2 linked regions of the Macaca fascicularis genome follow. The protein of the gene in region 1 interacts with the protein of each later gene in a pairwise test. Links are inferred from orthologs where the notes say so. Each region holds a gene or a part of one and is shown on either strand. Other genes may lie near its edges.

Region 1 (3,748 bases):
TTTTCACCTTTGCAGAATTCATCTAGTTGAAAATACTTGGCTCATGACTGTAATCCCAGCACTTTGGGAGGCCGAGGCGAGTGGATGACCTGAGGTCAGGAGTTCGACACCAGCCTGGCCAACATGGTGAAACCCCGTCTCTACTTAAAACACAAAAATTAGCTAGGTGTGGTGGCGGGCGCCTGTAATCCCAGCTACTCGGGAGGTTGAGGCAGGAGAATCTCTTGAACCCAGGAGGCAGAGGTTGCAGGGAGCCGAGGTCACGACATTGCACTCCATCTGGACAACAAGACCAAAAACTCCATCTCAAAAAAAAAAAAAAAAAAGAAAAAGAAATAAAATATTTCTAAAGTGATGTAAATATTGTTTACAAGTCTGTAAAGTACTGACTGAAAACCCGTGTAGTACAAATGTATACAGAAGTGTTGGATTGTAAAGAAGTGACCAGAGTGGAGGCTGACTAAAGAAACTCTTCAGGTGAGTTAAAAATAATAAAAACCCTTAATAGATCCAAAGAGTTGGGTTGTACCACCACCCAAAATTAAGAAAACGCCCCCGCCCCCCTTTTTTTTTTTAGACAGACCAAGACTCTGCTTCCCAGGCTTAAGTGCAGTGTTGCCATCATGGCTCACTGCACCCCCAACCTCCCAGGCCCAAGAGATCCTCCCACCTCAGCCTCCTCAGTAGCTGAAAATGGCCTTGGTGGCTCCTCTCTCCTTAAGATCTTAGGATTTGTACCAACTCATCAGTAGTTTTACAATTTGTACAGTACCTGTACATCTCATTTCATCCTCACACCAACCCTACCAGGCAAGGATCATTGGCCTCATTTAACAAGATGAAGATGAAGATACTCCTAGTTTTGCTGAGTAGTTGAAGACTGCTCAGCTGAAAAACTAATAGTGCCAGTGCTTAAACCCTCATCTCTAACACCAAAGCCTAAGCTCTTCCTGTTAACAGTACATAAAATTCAAACCCAAATCACAAAATTGCTGGAAAAAAAAAAAAAACCTAAAATTTCTTTAACCCACCAACTACACAGAGGATGATCTTCCTAAGTTCTCTTCCTTACAATTCATCACATCTTTTGAATGGTATTTTAATAACTAGCATTCTATTTATTTTCTATTCTTGGTCCATTGTACCACCTTACGAAAAGTTAAGAGTAATCTAAAATTTAAGGTAGGTCTCTAAACTATCAACAAAACACTATTAATGTACCTAAAATGAAAACTTGTGAATTCCAGAGCTAAAAGATTCAAACAAAAGTTAATAGAAAAGGAAGTGCACCAATCTGACCATTAGCCAATTTAAAAATTTACGCATTACTTGTTATACATAATCAGGGCAACTTTAAGACGCCATTCCAGGCAGATTTGGGGTAGTAGGCGGCTGGCTTTTAGCTAACGCTGCTTAGCTGCGGGGTAAATGTCAAAGGTCAGCCCCATGGCAAATCTCCCTAAGCCCCCTGTCGCAACAGAAGCAGATGGAATCAAGATAAAGATACCCAGTGGCTAGAATCGTGAAGAAAACGCTAATCCATGTCAAATGCACATAAGGAAATTTTTCCATGCAGAGACCAGACAGGGGAAAAGGGGAAGGTGGAAGGAGAAAATACAGGGTTCGACCCGGGCCATCGGACGACAACCGAGCGCTGACTTGGGTGTAAGCCCCGGACTAGGGGCCTGTAGACCAGGTTCGAGCGCTCACACTCGCTAACTGCGGAGCCTTGGCCAGCCTCAGTCCCCGAGTCTATAAAACAAGGATAATGATCAAGAGGTCCCACCCGCCTCACCGAGGGCTGTGAGGCTCTTTTGAGACAGAGGACATGGAGCCGTTTCGTAAACCGGAGGGCACGGTACAGACAAGAAGCTGTTATCCGGCCCAGCAGCTGCGAGACCCCCGAGCGGAATGCAGGTGGACCCCAGGCCAAAGAGGACAGCAGGGGACTGAGCAAATCCGGCCGACTCGGCCCGTCCCCGCCCAGAATCAGCCGGCGGCCCCACAGAACCGCCTGCGTGTCACTTCCCCGCCCCCAACCCCGCCAGGGCCAGCCTCCGCTCCGACCTCCCCGCCTTCCGTCCCAGCCCCTCGAGCTCCAACTACCCTCCCCGACGCGGCCCTCAGACTCACGGCCTGAGGGGCTCCTCGGGCAAAACGGCGACAGGCTCCGACCCTCCCTCAGAGCACACTAACCAGCAACACCCGGGACCGCCAGCTACTCGCCGGATGTACGTCACATCCCTCCCCGGGACTTCCGGGCGCGTAATTGGCCCCGCCCCCTCGCAGCGTTACGCCTCTCTGCCCCGGTGCCTGCCCACCTGCTACTCCGGCCGCGGAGGGGCGGGCATAAGGCCTGACAAAGCGCGCGCCACGTCCCGCCAGCTCCCGCCTGCCGAGCTGACCGCGCGAGACGTGGCAGTACCGGGACGCTGGGTCTGGGTCTGGGTCCTGGAGTCCCTGAGCGGCCTGGGACCCTCGGAATCGCGGCTTCCCATTCCAGACGCACCAGGAAAAAAGTAGGAAGTGGGGACCGACGGTGGCATAGGTCCTGGGAAAGATTACTTGACCTTGGGGACCTCCACTTGAGGTGGATCCCTCCAAGCTTTTGCTTTTTTTTTCTTGCTTTTTTTTTTTTTTTTTTTTTTGAAACGGAGTCTCACTTTGTCACCCAGGCTGGAGTGCAGTGGCGCGATGTCGGCTCACTGCAACCTCCACCTCCCGAATTCAAGCGATTCTGATGCGTCCGCCTCCCGAGTAGCTGGGATTACAGGCGCATGTCACCACACCCGGCTAATTTTTTGTATTTTTGTAGAGACGGGGTTTCACCGTGTTGGCCAGGCTAGTCTCGAACTCCTGACCTTAAGTGATATGCCGGCCTCGGCCTTCCAAAGTGCTGGAATGAGAGGCGTGGGCCACCGCACCCTAATGCTTTTGCTTTGAGTTGCACTTCCTTGCCCTGGGATGGCCTACGTTTTAGAAAAACAGCTAATATTTATTGTGCACTTATGTTTCAGGCAGAGCACTGGGTGATTTGCGCGCTTTGTCTAATTTCACCCTCATTGGAGTCCTGTGAAGCAGATGCTAGGATTATCCTTATTAACAAATGAGAGAGCAATGTTCAGAATAACCTACCACACCCAAGTTCACACAGCTAAGTGGCAAAGCAACGTGTTCACCCCAGTATATTTCGCATGCATTTTCTCATTTAATTCTCAGGACAGTGATACGAGATTGGTACTATTATTGCTCTCATTTTACAAATGAAACAGTCTAATGGAAAGATGAATGACGTCTGTGGATTCATGATCTCAATTCTCCTTAAGTAAAATTTAAATTTAACATAATCCCAATAAAAGTACTAATAGGATTAATAGATTGTGTGTGGTTTAGTTTTTTTGTTTTTTTTTTTAATTACCCTATTTGTTCCTAAAATTCGTGTAGAAAACCAAACAAGGCTAGTCCAGAAACAGGCTCTCAAAATGAAGAACCAGGAGGTGGGAACTAACCCTGTTGGATATTAAAACATATTATAGAGCTGGTGTGCACACACACACAGAAACACACACACACAAAACACAATGGAACAGAGAAAAGCACAGAAATAGACTAAAGTACATGCAGAAATAAAACTAAAGTAGCACCTGGCACTCCAGCAATAATCAGGGAGCTGAGTAGGCAAGCTCACCACCCTCTACCCTCTGCTCATCCTGGGGTCTTTGATGTTGAATTTTAATCTGTCCAGTCA
Region 2 (3,648 bases), on another chromosome or scaffold:
GGTCCTGCTGAAGAGCAGGGGATCATTAGAGAGGCTGTGGGACAAATTATAGGAGCTGGGGAGGCGGGGTCTGGGTCTGAGGCAGTGGGGGTATAGGCTGAGAAAGGTGGGATAAGAGCTTTAACAAAACCTGTTTGAACGTGGTATGGGACTGTAAGGGGTGGAGATCTGACTAGAAACTGGAACAACGGGACTAGAACAGGAAAGCGAAACCTGAACCTGAAATCATTTTTTTTTTTTGAGATAGAGGTTCACTTTGTCACCAGGCTAGAGTGCAATGGTGCGATCTTGGTTCACCGCAACCTCCTCCTCCCAGGTTCAAGCGAGTCTCCTGCCTCAGCCTCCCGAGTAGCTGGGACTACAGGTGGCCACCACTATGCACAGGTAATTTTTTTTGTATTTTTAGTAGAGACGTGGTTTCACCACATTGGCCAGCCTGGTCTTGAACTCCTGACCTCAGGTGATCCACCTGCCTTGGCCTCCCAGAGTGTTGGGATTACAGGTGTGAGCCACTGCACCAGGCTGAAATCATTTTTCATAAAACAAAACAAATGCCCTGCAACTGTATATACATCTGCATAGCTATGTGTACACAGACATGCACACATGTACACAAGTGGTTGAGAAGGACACAGACCGTACTGGTAACATGGAGCTATCTCAGGAGAAGGGATGTGGGGGCGAGTGGGTTGTGGGGGAACTGGGACTTCCATCTTTTTCTATTAAGCCCTTTATTAATGTTCAAATTGTTAACACCTAGCACACTACCCAATTTTTAAAGTATTAAAAAAAAAAAAAACAAAAAACCCAGCTGGGTGTGGTGGCTCACACCTGTAATGCCAGCACTTTGGGAGGCCAAGGAAGGAGGATCACCTAAGGTCAGGAGTTCGAGACCAGCCTGGCCAACATGGTGAAATCTTATCTCTACTAAAAATACAAAAATTAGCTGGGTGTGGTGGCGGGCATCTGTAGTCCCAGCTACTCGGGAAGCTGAGGCAGGAGAATGACATGAACCTGGGAGGCGGAGCTTGCAGTGAGCCGAGACTGTGCCACTGCACTCCAGCCTGGGCGACAGGGCGAGACTCCGTCTCAAAAACAAAACAAAACCAAACCCATGATTTCTAAGTACACAAGCCTCTGACTCCTATCTGTTTTAAGGCCCCCACAAAGCCATGTTCCAATCCAGTGCCTCCCTGAGAGGATCAAGGACTGGGCCCTGCTTTACCTGGCTGGTTTGACCTCTTCCATCTCGGAGAGTTTGGCTTGAATGAGGCACAGCCCTAGAAGAGAAGAAGTGGCCCTGAGCATTCGTGAGGGGAGAGGGCTCCCTCCCTCCTAACCTTCCCCTTTCCCAAGAAGCAGTGCTGGATGGAGAAAGGCCCATGTTTACTCTTCTAGAAATTCCATCTCTGCCCCCATGCCACATCCACCTGAGGACGTCTGGCATCTGCTCTCCCATGACAGGCCAGCATCTGATAAGATCCCTTGGGCAGCATGCTAGACTCAGAGCTAAAGGGACAGCACTCAATGGTGACTCAGTGGTGGCCCAACCCCAGGGGTCTTCCCAGTACACTTCCGAGCAGATCTGGCTCCCCTGCTCCAGCAAAGTAGCTGGGGCTTTGAGGGTGGCTTCCTGGATAAAGACAAGTTGGGTAAGGGTAGAACTCATGGCTGGGCCAACAGGACACTTCTCCAGGGATCTGGTGGTAGATCTGTGTCTGGAACCCAGGTCCTCTGATGTCTGTGTCAGGGTGTCACCCCTAGACCCTACTGCTCTCTGGGCTGTAATGGGCTGAACCAGCCAGACAGATCCCTCAGTTAGGGAGCAGCAGACACCTGAATGAATGGTTAAGAGAACAGACTCTGAACCCAGACAGTGTGGGATGGAAAAGGTTTGTTACTAGTCGAGTTTGTTAAGCTCTAGGCAAGTCTGTGACCCTTTCTGAGCCCCACGTGCCATCAGTAAACTGGAGATCACAACTACACCTTCTTTCCAGGTAAACTGGAGATCACAACTACACCTTCTTTCCAGGTAAACTGGAGATCACAACTACACCTTCTTTCCAGGAGATAATGCTTGGACAGGGGCCATCACAGAGGCGAGGCAGTTGATTAGTCAGTGATGGTGGTTACTCTCTCCTGCATGTTTGGATTAAGTAGGGAGCAGAGGCTAGGGAGGCCCTGGGAGTCTGTGCTGTGGGGCTGTGATGGGGCGCCAGGGGTCCGCACCTGGGAAGACGAAGATGAAGCAGGCGGCCAGGCCTCCAATGACTGAGATCACCTTGCCGATGTCAGGGATGAAGAGCGCCAGCAGCAGGGTGAGCAGGAACCAGACCAGCGTCTGCAGCACTCGCCGCCGCCGCTCCCGCCCCACGTCCTCCTCCACTGGCACCCCCTGGTAGCGCAGCCACAGGCCTTCCACCACCGCCCTGCCCACATGGAGAGGGGCTTAGAGGTGCTCCTGCCGCTAGCAGCCTCCCACCTCTAGCTCACAGGAGCCAGACTCCTAATTGGGTAGACGGCAGGGAAAGCCCCATTCCTGAGCCTCAGTTTCCTCTTCTGTAAAATGGGCCACCAGCACTCTGTTTACCACGGGGACTAGAGATGGTGAATGTGGAGAGCTTAGCACTTTGCTTTACATCACATGGAAACTGATATAGTTTTTTCCTTAAAAGGAACTCTCTGGGGTATGCAAAGGGCAGGGTGTCCACGTGAAAGCTCAGGAAAGGATCTGGATAGAGATTCTTTTGTTTTTTTCTGAGACAGGGTCTGGCTCTCTCACCCAGGCTGGAGTGCGGTGGTGCAATCTTGGCTCACTGCAGCCTTGAACTCCTGGGCTCCAGCCATCCTTCTGCCTCAGCCTCCCAAGTGGCTGAGTAGCTGGGACCACAGGTGCATGCCACCACACCTGGCTATTTATTTTATTTTGTGTAGAGATGGGGGTCTCACTAGGTTGCCCAAGTGGTCTTGAACTCCTGGGCTCAAGTGATCCTTCTGCCTCAGCCTCCAAAAGTGCTGGGATTAGAGACATGAGCCACCGTGCCATGCCCTGGATATTCTTTTTTTTTTTTTGAGACGGAGTCTCGCTCTGTCGCCCAGGCTGGAGTGCAGTGGCGCTATCTCGGCTCACTGCAAGCTCCGCCTCCCGGGTTTACGCCATTCTCCTGCCTCAGCCTCCCGAGTAGCTGGGACTACAGGCGCCCGCCACCTCGCCCGGCTAATTTTTTTGTATTTTTAGTAGAGACGGGGTTTCTTTTTTTTTTTTTTTTTTTTTTTTTTTGAGACGGAGTCTTGCTCTGTCACCCAGGCTGGAGTGCAGTGGCCGGATCTCAGCTCACTGCAAGCTCCGCCTCCTGGGTTTACGCCGTTCTCCTGCCTCAGCCTCCCGAGTAGCTGGGACTATAGGCGCCCGCCACCTCGCCCGGCTAGTTTTTTTGTATTTTTTAGTAGAGACGGGGTTTCACCGTGTTAGCCGGGATCGTCTCTCGATCTCCTGGCCTCGTGATCTGCCCGTCTCGGCCTCCCAAAGTGCTGGGATTACAGGCTTGAGCCACCGCGCCTAGAGACGGGGTTTCATTGTGTTAGCCAGGATGGTCTCGATCTCCTGACCTCGTGATCCGCCCGTCTCGGCCTCCCAAAGTGCTGGGA

The links.
Region 2: the proteins of SAR1A (region 1) and SLC38A7 interact in binary tests that used the Homo sapiens proteins (3 or more experiments, as listed by UniProt). The link is inferred for Macaca fascicularis from reciprocal best matches to the Homo sapiens genes SAR1A and SLC38A7.

What each region holds. Positions count from the first base shown.
Region 1 is NC_088383.1:76,254,975-76,258,722, reverse strand, and holds the start of SAR1A (small COPII coat GTPase SAR1A), read right to left. Parts: upstream 2,236-3,748; 5' UTR 2,197-2,235; exon of another isoform or gene 2,134-2,196; intron 1-2,133. UniProt on the Homo sapiens protein: Small GTPase that cycles between an active GTP-bound and an inactive GDP-bound state and mainly functions in vesicle-mediated endoplasmic reticulum (ER) to Golgi transport.
Region 2 is NC_088394.1:54,780,582-54,784,229, forward strand, and holds part of SLC38A7 (sodium-coupled neutral amino acid transporter 7), read right to left. Parts: intron 2,430-3,648; coding exon 2,230-2,429; intron 1,281-2,229; coding exon 1,226-1,280; intron 1-1,225. UniProt on the Homo sapiens protein: Symporter that selectively cotransports sodium ions and amino acids, such as L-glutamine and L-asparagine from the lysosome into the cytoplasm and may participates in mTORC1 activation. The transport activity requires an acidic lysosomal lumen.